Daphnia pulex: one gene and its partners. The protein of the gene in region 3 binds, or shares a complex with, the protein of the main gene of each other region. Links are inferred from orthologs where the notes say so. Each region holds a gene or a part of one and is shown on either strand. Other genes may lie near its edges.

The links.
Region 1: the proteins of GTP-binding protein Rheb-like (region 3) and serine/threonine-protein kinase mTOR-like are in contact, whole or in part, in a cryo-EM structure (PDB 6BCU), measured with the Homo sapiens proteins. The link is inferred for Daphnia pulex from reciprocal best matches to the Homo sapiens genes RHEB and MTOR. Residues at the interface, in NP_005605.1 of Homo sapiens: Lys5, Ser6, Arg7, Lys8, Arg15, Pro37, Ile39, Glu40, Thr42, Gln57, Ala62, Asp65, Tyr67, Ile69, Gln72, Thr73, Ser75, Ile76, Asp77, Asn79, Asp105, Met106, Val107, Gly108, Lys109, Val110, Ile112; in NP_001373429.1 of Homo sapiens: Arg62, His69, Glu73, Ala101, Thr102, Ile104, Gly105, Arg106, Asn109, Tyr110, Arg112, Asn113, Phe140, Glu143, Tyr144, Phe147, Glu154, Arg160, Thr969, Gln973, Phe977, Lys980, Glu1010, Phe1011, Gln1014, Met1018, Ser1050, Thr1051, Asn1264, Lys1293.
Region 2: the proteins of GTP-binding protein Rheb-like (region 3) and retinal rod rhodopsin-sensitive cGMP 3',5'-cyclic phosphodiesterase subunit delta-like are in contact, whole or in part, in a crystal structure (PDB 3T5G), measured with the Homo sapiens proteins. The link is inferred for Daphnia pulex from reciprocal best matches to the Homo sapiens genes RHEB and PDE6D. Residues at the interface, in NP_005605.1 of Homo sapiens: Pro2, Gln3, Ser4, Gln57, Asp77, Gln176, Gly177, Lys178, Ser179, Ser180, Cys181; in NP_002592.1 of Homo sapiens: Ile53, Leu54, Cys56, Val59, Val80, Gln85, Cys86, Leu87, Glu88, Glu89, Trp90, Ile109, Glu110, Ala111, Ala112, Pro113, Gln116, Met117, Met118, Leu123, Tyr149.

What each region holds. Positions count from the first base shown.
Region 1 is NC_060027.1:5,106,141-5,110,156, forward strand, and holds the start of serine/threonine-protein kinase mTOR-like, read left to right. Parts: upstream 1-1,215; 5' UTR 1,216-1,428; intron 1,429-1,544; 5' UTR 1,545-1,551; coding exon 1,552-1,644; intron 1,645-1,722; coding exon 1,723-1,989; intron 1,990-2,072; coding exon 2,073-2,171; intron 2,172-2,236; coding exon 2,237-2,430; intron 2,431-2,489; coding exon 2,490-2,685; intron 2,686-2,751; coding exon 2,752-2,913; intron 2,914-2,974; coding exon 2,975-3,144; intron 3,145-3,206; coding exon 3,207-3,378; intron 3,379-3,441; coding exon 3,442-3,712; intron 3,713-3,785; coding exon 3,786-3,905; intron 3,906-3,982; coding exon 3,983-4,016. Other genes in the region: RING finger and SPRY domain-containing protein 1-like, read right to left, coding at 22-88, 147-332, 396-561, 619-857. UniProt on the Homo sapiens protein: Serine/threonine protein kinase which is a central regulator of cellular metabolism, growth and survival in response to hormones, growth factors, nutrients, energy and stress signals.
Region 2 is NC_060018.1:861,819-865,152, reverse strand, and holds retinal rod rhodopsin-sensitive cGMP 3',5'-cyclic phosphodiesterase subunit delta-like, read right to left. Parts: upstream 1,901-3,334; 5' UTR 1,599-1,900; coding exon 1,558-1,598; intron 1,490-1,557; coding exon 1,427-1,489; intron 1,352-1,426; coding exon 1,216-1,351; intron 1,128-1,215; coding exon 1,006-1,127; intron 929-1,005; coding exon 847-928; 3' UTR 502-846; downstream 1-501. Other genes in the region: uncharacterized protein LOC124188871, read right to left, coding at 2,274-3,334. UniProt on the Homo sapiens protein: Promotes the release of prenylated target proteins from cellular membranes. Modulates the activity of prenylated or palmitoylated Ras family members by regulating their subcellular location.
Region 3 is NC_060021.1:5,206,255-5,209,466, reverse strand, and holds GTP-binding protein Rheb-like, read right to left. Parts: upstream 1,857-3,212; 5' UTR 1,715-1,856; exon of another isoform or gene 1,699-1,714; intron 1,639-1,698; 5' UTR 1,500-1,638; coding exon 1,445-1,499; intron 1,385-1,444; coding exon 1,313-1,384; intron 1,246-1,312; coding exon 1,038-1,245; intron 963-1,037; coding exon 833-962; intron 753-832; coding exon 660-752; 3' UTR 504-659; downstream 1-503. Other genes in the region: cullin-associated NEDD8-dissociated protein 1-like, read left to right, coding at 39-128. UniProt on the Homo sapiens protein: Small GTPase that acts as an allosteric activator of the canonical mTORC1 complex, an evolutionarily conserved central nutrient sensor that stimulates anabolic reactions and macromolecule biosynthesis to promote cellular biomass generation and growth.

The DNA of each region.
Region 1 (4,016 bases), on a different chromosome or scaffold from region 3:
GTTATAATTATTATTTTTTACTTGTTTGAGCAAATTTCTCAAGAGCAATTAATGAAAACAGTACTACTGGTGGGTGGTTTGATGGATCCTAAAAGATATACATTGTTGAAAATAAAGTGAGACCAAAGATTGATTGTCAGACATACCAGGTTGGCTATAAGGTAATCCAATGTGCTGTCAGTTAGCAAAGCAACACTTGTAGGCCCAGCCAATTTTTCAGCAATGCAGCCCAATGCAATACAAATATTCCTGTGACGATTAGGATCTGATCTTCCCCTTTTACTAGCTTTAGCTGACAGCCAAAACATCCGGGGGACTTTAGTAATGGAATCCTGAAAAAAAAATGGTGAAAATTTAACCTAGCAACAATGTCTAACATATGATTAAAATCTTACCTTTGCTGGTAAGGCACAGTCATCTAGCACCAGAGTGATGACAGCAGGTCCAAGGGGTTCATTAATGGGTATTACATTAACCATGGAATGTAGAACAAGCAACCAACCATGCCCTTTGTTAGAAAGAGCTTGTAATCTTAACATTGAAGGAGGTGTTTCTTGATCACTAAACAAAGAAGGAATAATTAAAGTGGATACATAGGAACATATAATAAAAACATACTTTTCAACTAAATTTCCTATGACAGCTAATGTCTGCAAAACAAGACTGTCAATATGGGGTAGCATTCGCCTCAAGTGTGAGGCCTCAGATGCTGGTATAACATGAGATGGGAAACTTCTGTCTCTATCAACTGAAATATTAGATTGCAGTGGACTTGGGAGGCTGGCAGTTTCTGGTTGAGGCACTGAGAGAGAGGGTAGTTCCCCATCCTTTTCGTCACAACATAAGCATTGTCCCATTTTTAACTGCTTCAGTGGAAATTAAATTTGAACATGTTATTTGAGAGAGATCGTCACTATTCAAACGTGCAATTTGATCTCCATCTTAGTTAAGTTTATAAGTGGGTGTATATGGATTGACCAGGAATGGATTTGACGTTGTTCAACAATTAATTTCAGTAGCACTATTTAACCATGTTATAAATATGGATGGTAATCTAGTATTGAGAAATTCGATGAAAAAGGTATCGTCTGCTGCTTATAACGCGAACATAGATATCCGCTAGGGGCGCTTATAGGAGAGCCATCCTTTCACCGGACATCTAATAGTATCTAATGCCTAATGAGGAGTAACACAATTTGGAGTTTTCTTTTTCTTCCGTCAGATGTCGAAGTCCACAAGTTTGTTTATTAAAATAAGTCATACTGATACTGTAAAGTCTAATTAGTAATTACACGTTGTGGAATTCGCGTATTGCATATTCTTTTTAAAATAAGGCTTATCTTTTTTTGTCGAAGACAAAGAGTTATTTGATTGAATGGAAAAATAACATATAGTGTCCAATTTCAATTTTCGCTAGCGGGGTACGAGGTGATTGGCGACAGTTGACTTTGAATGTTTTCGAACTACTCCTTTGAGTTGTTGCTGATTATGCATTGAATTTATATCAACTGCTTCCTTTATTTTATCCTTTTTATTTATTTCAGTTACAGAATGGCAACCGGAATGATGCAAACATTCATCACTGGGCTTAGATCCAGAAGTGAAGATTTGAGACTAAAGGCTGCCCGAGATTTACACCATTATGTAAGAGAAGGATAAAGAGCTAAATGTTTAAGAAGGAAATAATATAGAATTGTTTTAATGTTGTCTTAATTTGTTTAGGTGACATCTGAGTTAAGAGAGGCATTGCAGGAAGATGTAATTTCATTTGTTGATGATTTGAATCACCATATATTTGACATGGTGTCCAGCTCAGATGTCAATGAAAAGAAAGGTGGCATTCTAGCCATAGTTAGTTTATTGCAAGTAGATGTTGGAAATACCAATGCCAGAATGACTAGATTTGCCAACTATTTGAAAAACTTACTTCCATCTCAGGATGTAGTTGTAATGGAGTTAACTGCAAGGGCACTTGGAAAATTGACACTGGCAAGTTAAACAAAAATCTAAATAGCCTCTACACATAATTAAAACAGATGATAAATATAGATATGCAATTTTTAATAAAACAGGTATCAGGAAGCTACACCGCGGAGTATGTGGAATTTGAAGTAAAACGAGCCTTTGAGTGGCTCAGTGGCGAGAGAAATGAAGGTCGTAGGCATGCAGCGGTAAGTTAAAAATAACATCATTAACGATATGTTGATACCATAAGTTTTAACTCAATTTCTCACAGGTGCTGGTTTTGCGAGAATTGGCTTTATCCATGCCAACTTTCTTTTTCCAGCAAGTCCAGACTTTTTTTGACGTTATTTTTTATGCTGTTCGGGACTCCAAACCAATGATTCGAGAAGGCGCAGTTGCTGCTTTACGCTCTGCTTTAGTCGTCACATCTCAGCGAGAAACTAAAGAAGCTCAAAAGCCTACTTGGTAATAAACAAGCTTGTACAAGTTTAACACATAAAGATATAGTATTAACCATTAATTAGGTATAAACAATGCTTTGACGAGGCCCAACAAGGTTTTGAGGAACCGTTAGCCAAAGATAAAGGACTAACAAAGGACGACAGAGCTCATGGATCTCTTTTGGTTCTTCAAGAGCTTCTACGTTGTTCGAATGCAGAGGGTGAACGACTTCTCGCTGAACTAGAGCAATTAAATTTACTACATTCACAGACTGTTCAGGTTGAATATGCCGATCTTTGTATGACCTGAGCAAATGCGATAATTCTCAATGATTTTTTACCAAAGGATTCTCTAATTTCTACAACTTCCCGAGTGTTGCCGAACGGTGCTGTTGAATTAATCAACACTCCTACACTTTACAATAATCTCCGGCTTTTGCCAGGGCATGTCGCTCAATCAAGGATAGCCAGCGCCGTGTCACCACTATCGATAGTTGCGCCCCAGCAGGTGATTTATAAAATTGATCGCAATACTTCCACTTACCTGAACGAATTTTCTATACAAACAGTACCCTATAGTTGAAAGCGCTGCATGCCGCCAATTGACTGCTGATCATTTTGATGAAATTTGTGCCAACACTCTTCGACATAGCATCTCAAAAAGCAGCCATGTACAAGCAGCTTTGATGGGAATTCTGCCTAGACTGGCTGCCTATGATCGAACCCGATTTTCTGATAGGTATTAAATTTTTGGAAAATTTCTTAAAATGACAAATGACCATACATACTTAATTTCCCCAGGTATTTGGGCCCTTCGATGAGCTACTTGATGGCGTGTTTGACCCGCAAAGAAAAAAATCCTCACCTTGCAATGATAACTATAGGTTATATAGCAGTGTGTATTGAAGGGGATATTGCCACACATCTCCCTGGCATTATTAGTTTTGTTCGGACTTCTCTACCTCAAAATAAAGTAGAGAAACTAAAGAGTGTAAAGAAGAAAAATTCTTTAATTTTCGAAACTTCTCCAAACTAGGACCCATCTTCTACCAAAAAACGCTCCAGTCCCCCTGATATTGCTGTTTTCGTCTGTCTAAGTCTGCTTGGCCGAGCCGTTGGTCGTTCTCATCTAACTAGTGAGTTCAAGGATCTACTGGATCCCATGCTGTCCGTTGGACTTAGTCCTGCCCTGACAACTTGTCTTCGTGAACTGGCCTTGAGAATTCCTCATCTTAAAAAAGACATTGCCGAAGGACTCTTGCGGATGCTTTCACTAGTTTTGATGCACCAACCACTTCGTCATCCAGGCATGGTTTTATTTTAAACAACGAATTTGGAAAAGTACATTCTACTTGAATTAATTTATCCATTCTATTTTAGGAATGCCAAAACATCATATGGCGCTCACTCCAGTGGCACTTCAACCACTACCATCGAATGGGGATGACGTCAATAGCATCGTTTTAGCTCTAAGAACGTTGGGGAGTTTTGATTTTCAAGGTTAAAAAACCAATTTATTTAAAATTCAATGAACGAGAGACGCAGATTTTTCAACATAATTTTGTTTGTGTCGCTAGGTCAACCACTACTTTTACAATTTGTTCGCCATTG
Region 2 (3,334 bases), on a different chromosome or scaffold from region 3:
CACACACTTATGCATCTTTCCCCTGATACCCCCCACCCCATCTACTATAATACACATCCTCTCCGCACTCTAATAATTCAAATATCGCCCCATAAAAAGGGGGGGGGGGGCTGGCTGACCCACGACCGAGTACTGTGCTCTACACCGCTGGACATGTAATTTACTAGTCAACCATAGCTCGAGGAACACAGACAAGTAGGAGAGCTCGAGGAAATCTAATTATCGACTAGAAAGAGATGGGAGAGAGAGAGAGAGGCTGGGGGTAGGGATATAATTGCATTTTGGATGGCTATCCATGTCAAGTAGAGGCAGATGCAGAAGACGTGGGCAACGCAGTAGATCACTATAATCCGCTCAATAACGACATCCACTTTGCCTGATGTACCCGCACAACACAACGCCGACTCACCCATTGAAACGGGACCGTCATGTTTCGATAGCATGGGTGCATCTACCTAAAATCAGAAATCCCGATCGCGAAGGATAAACATGAGCTCCCAGTTTTATACACCGATTGAATCGTCTTTTTATTATGTAGTACCGACAGTCAACGGGTAAAATGTGGAGCGCAGGAATAACAGCGGCAGCAGCAAATGAGATATTGACCGAGAAGTATGGCAGGTGATCGCGAACAAATAGCGTGTGTAGCTTTGTGTGTGAGCGGAATTGTAGCGATGTCGCACCGAATCGAAATCGGTGCGTTAGGAGATGGCACACGACGTGTAGACTGTGTAAAAAAGCGCTTCAAAATGCCGGTTTTCGCTTATTTCCATCGCCATAAGGACGTAACAGGAGAACGTGAAATGAAGAGACGACAAAATAATGGGAAAAAACGCAGAGATCGGGTCAGACGTAGAACAGCCTCACTTTTGATGTTGAGACTAGAAGGGTGTCATCGTAGAATTTGGTTTCGATAGTCACATTTCCACTGCACAAAACAAAAAAATAATTTTGGCTTTAATTTCTCTATCAAATTGATTTAAGAATGCATAAATTTTGTTTTACTTTAAAATTTGTGCAGGCATCATTTGTGATTCTGGTGCAGCCTCAATTATTGATTGCCAGGTGTTTGTGGAGTTTGGGATGACGAATCCAAAATCAAATGTCCACTCTTCTAATGCTCTTCCCTATAGTTCAACACAACACATCCAGTTTCAGATTTCTCTGATTCTCACATGTTTTTATAACACGAAATCAAAAATGGGAAACTCCTACCTTGAAAAGGACTTTCTGTTCCAGTCGAAAGTTTTCGAGGGGTTCTATTGAGGAAAAGTTAATTTCCCTTGAAACGGCTCTGCAATTCAAAATACTTTTGGGTACTCGGGCTTCATGTTCAACATCAGGCTGGGACCTGAAACAAAGTGTCAAAAAGCATATTATAGATTATTTCTTTCTAATTTTAAAATTGATATATAGTAGAACTCACAAATCATCAGAGTTTTGCCACAGCAGTTTCCCGGTGTCTACTTCTCGTAGACTCATCCAGTTCCTGCAAGATGAGATAAATTAAATTAATTTCCAAAATATGAAAACAACCAAGAGACAAAACCAACTTACACTCTGAATCCCGACAGTATGTCTTCGGCTTTGGAAGGCATTACGTTCGATTCCAGATCTTCTCAATCGCAGGCCAGTCGACACGAGGACGACGGCGACCACCTCAACGTATCCCTTATTCAATATACAATTTTGCAGCACTTGGACTGCAGGCCCGATTCGGACGAGTTCGCTTTCAAAAGTGTATATGCCGACCAACCGCACACACACAGATGGGGTAAAACTTTCTGTATAAGGATAATTGATTGGTATCTTGGATCAATACAAAGTCGTATTATATATATAGAGCCGCCACCGGGTACTCGGCCAAGTAACAACTCTCTTGATGTCAACAAAAAACCAATAGACGAGAGTATAAGAAGAAATTCCATTAGACGTTGCCACATGGTTGTATTGCGATACCAAAATGCAAAGTCATGACTCATGAAAGAAAGTTTTAGAAATTGAACGAGTTTTATTGCTGGATTGGAAATAAACCGAATGTAAACCAAAATATAATTGGACCCATTGTTTCTCATCTTATACGAAAAGAAATATGGGATACGCGAAAAAATAAAACTGAACACAGAACCAAATAGGGGTGTGGCAGATTGACACTTCTGTTGCACAAAAATTGATATGGAATTATCAAAAAAAAAAAAAAAATACTTGTCACTTCTGTTGCAATAGATGATTTCTCTATTTGACAAAAGATTAAGCCAGCGGTTGCGGGAAATCTAATCTCTCTTGGATTGGGCACAGTTGCAATAAACAATTGGCCAGCGCGCAGATGCTTCTTCTTGGTACCAGAGCTTCTCGTCCGGATGATTTTCTTTGATGTGGTTTTCAATAAGATCGGCCCAGCAAGGTGGAATTTGCAAACGAACCTGTTTCCAACTCGCCGTCTGTCGACGATCATCCAGTTGTGAAGGAGGAGTTGCTTCTGCAATTGGTGTTTCTTTCGTAATTGGCTGTATCGGTAGGTCATCAACAGATTCAGCCCGCAGTTTCTTCTTAGAAGAGGATAGAACTTCGTTATCTTTTGAAGAAGTGAGCTGCTGAAGTGGTGTCCTTTTAGAGGTGATCGACCTTCGACAGTCTGGCAGTGGTTCAGTTGAGTATATTAGAGGTAAAGGTATACCAGCTAATCGTGAGCTTCTTCTACGTTCTTCCTGTGATGATCGACTTAGTGTTTTCTTGTTGGCAGAATGAATAGATGATTTCGATGATTCATCAAGTTTGGCATCCTGATAGATAACAGGAAATGATTCCGGGATAATAAATTCAATTTCCGCATGATCATCTGTTTTATATGTCGATTCGACAAAAATGACATCATTGTCCATATTGATGCTCGACTCAATCTCATCCATTAGCTCAACATCTGACAGACTTGCCTCGCATCCCATTAGGTTGCCTTCGATCGACTTCTTCAATTCAGTGTAACTTTCTTCATTATTTTCATTGACAGGCGATTTAGTTTTTTTATTTTCTGACGTGGAACTTTTCCTAGAAGATTTTCTAGATGAGGCAGGTGATGGGCCATCGGGCGAAGAGAATTTGGGAGTATCTTTTTCAGTATCAGGAGAAAGGTACAGGGCCAATGGACTCGATGAAAAATTTGCAGAGTTAGAAAGTGAATCAGTATCGACAAACAACTGTTTCCGTAAGTTACAGGAGCGAGCGGGGGATGTGGTCTCAACGACATTCCAAGATGAAAGCTGAGGTCGACGATGAGATCGTAGGGTTCGTATGACATCTCGACGCGCCTTTTTCTCGGTTGGAGTGATAAAAGGCG
Region 3 (3,212 bases):
TCGCCTAAACTTAAAATTTTTACACTTACCATTTTCAGACTCTTTTCGACTCGATCCAGAAAGATGGCTCCGGACATCATGGAAATGCTGCAGGTGGATCCAGTGATTCGAACATGGATTTAAGTTAAAGTGGTGTATAATTATGTATCTATTATCGAAAAAATCGGATCGGGGAATTGTCACGAATGAAACATTGTTTCGTTCTTTTCTTTGAAATGTCTATGGTGGATGAAAGGGAAGTAGGGGTACATGTATTAACCATTCTTCTTGAACGGATGCGTTGAACATTGTTTAAGTTCAGTTCCACTACGATGCACTTTTCAGCACGGTGTGTATCTTTTTCTGAGAAAAAAAGATCTGTTGCGTTATTTCATCTTTTCCCCCATGTCATTTTAGATATTCAAAATCGAGAAATACAACTTTCCTGCAAAATGTTAATCGTATTTAATGTTCAAAACCTAAATTTGGTGAACATCGTTTATACAAGATAAGAACCACTTACATAGTACAAATGATAAATGTATTTCGCTCACCATGAAAGCTTTTCAACGTTGCTTCACAAATCCAAGAAACCGAGATAACGGTCGTTATGAAAAACTGCGTAATATTAGAAGGGAAAAAAATTGGCGCTGGTAGATTTTTCTACATTTCATACCCGTTCAGGACAGAACACAACTGCTCTTTTCGTTTCCATTACTGCTATCTGCTTTCTCCATTTCCGTTATCAGTCGGTTAAAAATTTCGCAGACAGACTAGAGATGAAAGGAAAAAAAAAAAAATTCTTAATAGAAAGTACAATTTCAAATCTCCAAATGAATATTAATCAGCATACCTCGTGTGACCTAGCAGAAACTTCATAAAATGAGGCTTTCCAAGTGTCGGCAAGCCTTTTGCCCTCTTCTGTGCTGACTACTCTTTCACGGTGAAGGTCTGTTTTATTACCAACAATAACAAGAGGTATTCTATAGTGATGAAAAGAAACTGGTTGTCAGACATAAAATTATTGAGTGATGAAATGCTACCTTAGAGAAACTTACGTGATTTTACCAGTCATATCCATAATCTTTTCTAGCAAAACTTGTAACAGCTCAAAGCTTTGAACTGAAGTAATGGAATATACAAGTACATAACCATGCATGTCCATTGAATGTTGAGCTGGGAAAATAGCATATTCATCTTGACCAGCAGTATCCACCAACTTTAGCTCAAAATCTTGCCCTCTTACTTTCCATGGTTTGGTGAAGGCTGGATTTCAGTCAAGACAAAACAAAAATTAAACAGTGTTCCTTTACAACACAAACAAGGAGCATACTGTTTTCAATTGTAGGGTCATAAGAATCAACAAATTGATTTTCAACAAATTGGATGGTCAGTGAAGATTTTCCTAGGTAAATGAAAATTATAAAAAATAATCTAACATGATCTTTCAACTGCAACAACTTACCAACTGAGCGGTAGCCCATAATTGCAATCTTCCTCTGTTTTCTTTGAGGTGGCATGTTGGACTAGTATTTCCCAAGTTATGCAAGTATGTATGGCGAGTGCTTCTTACGTCATGCACTACAAAATACAAACAACACTTATATTTCAAAGCATATACTTTCAATAAGGAATGGTGAAAGAAATCAATGGCCACCACTTGCAACAGCATTTAAAAAATATTTTCATAAGGTACTTCATTAAGTTCATTATAAATACCAAGTAAGTTTAATACCTTCTTGTTCTGTGCTGCTAAAACGTTTCCTTTTAGATTTTTCTTTTGCAATACAAGAAAAGATTTTTACGGATCAAAATAACGTGTTTTCTGTTTAGTTAGTTGGACAGCTTCTTTACTGATTACAGCGTTGCAACAAGTACTGTTGTGGAGATAACAAATATGCGTATAAAATTTAAATAAAATATAAATAAATTAGAGTTTAAATTATAAATTTATAATACGCATCTTAAATGAACTTTACACTCAAATCTAAATAATATTACATGTAAAAAATACCAAACAGAGACTCCGTCTATAGCGACTGTCCCAAACAAGTTTTTTACTATGCTCTGCAAACTGTTTTGTTTTTCTGAACTTACAGATCGAGCGCTAGATGGCGAGCAAACTTCTGCACGTGAATCAGCACACACTGAAACAGTTTGCCGAAGGTTTGCACGTGATCAGCACACGCCGAATCGTGGCAAGTCGAAAATGGTAATTTCAATGCCAGATATTACCAAAGCCGAAACTGTAAATGGAAAAACTTACCATGAGAATTTCGTCAAACTAATTCGATTTCGTTAATCCTTCTTATTGCACAACTGAATGAGCCCTAGACATTATGAACTTTCATGTCCTTCGGGGAAGACCAATTGGTATCATGTGGTCACAGCATGGAGTATGCAGAGACATGATCACTTGGCTATGCCTACGTCAATTTCCAACAACCAGCTGATGCTAAGATAACAATAGTGAGTGAAGACTTATCGTTTATCCTTCTTATCGTACAACTGAATGAGCCCTTAGTCTACTGTATTGATTAAGTGAAAGTTGAGGAGTTGAAAAATTTTATTTGTTTAGTAGCAATGCAGTAGTACAATTTCTGTGTTTTATTTCAATTTGAAGTAAAATTATTCGTAATTGCGCCTACGGTGTTGTATGTCCAGTTTGCTTTCTCGCTGGCGACGTTGATGTTCTTCTCTTAGTTGTTCTCATCTATTATCTTCATCATTTTGACGCTCGAACTGACGACGCGGATCAATTTGTGGCTCCCGTTGTTGTTGAGAGTCCCGTTGTTGTTGAGAGTCCCGTTGTTGTTGCTCCCTTAGTTGTTGTTGCTCCCTTAGTTGTGGCTCCCGTAGAATGAGACGTGGTGGTTGTAGGACAAATCGTGTTTGTTGTGGTTGTTGTTGTAGGGAGTATAGATTTTGTTGAGGAATGTTATGGGGCGGTTGAGGAGTGTGTTGAGGCAAATACTGAAAAAAGTTGAAAAGGTCGGCGAGTAATGGAGGGAGCACAAACATGAGCATATGGAGTACTGGCACTGTACACAGTACCGCAGTCAGTATTTTGGAGGGACCGGGCAGGAGCGGCCGGAAAAAGGATGACCAACAAGAAGAACAAAAAAGACGGGCAACGTCATCGCCACAGCAACGCAAAGTGGAGTTTAACGCCAAAAAATTCCGCATGTACACAAAAAAAAAAAATGAAAAATAGAAGAAAAATAGTCAGTTTT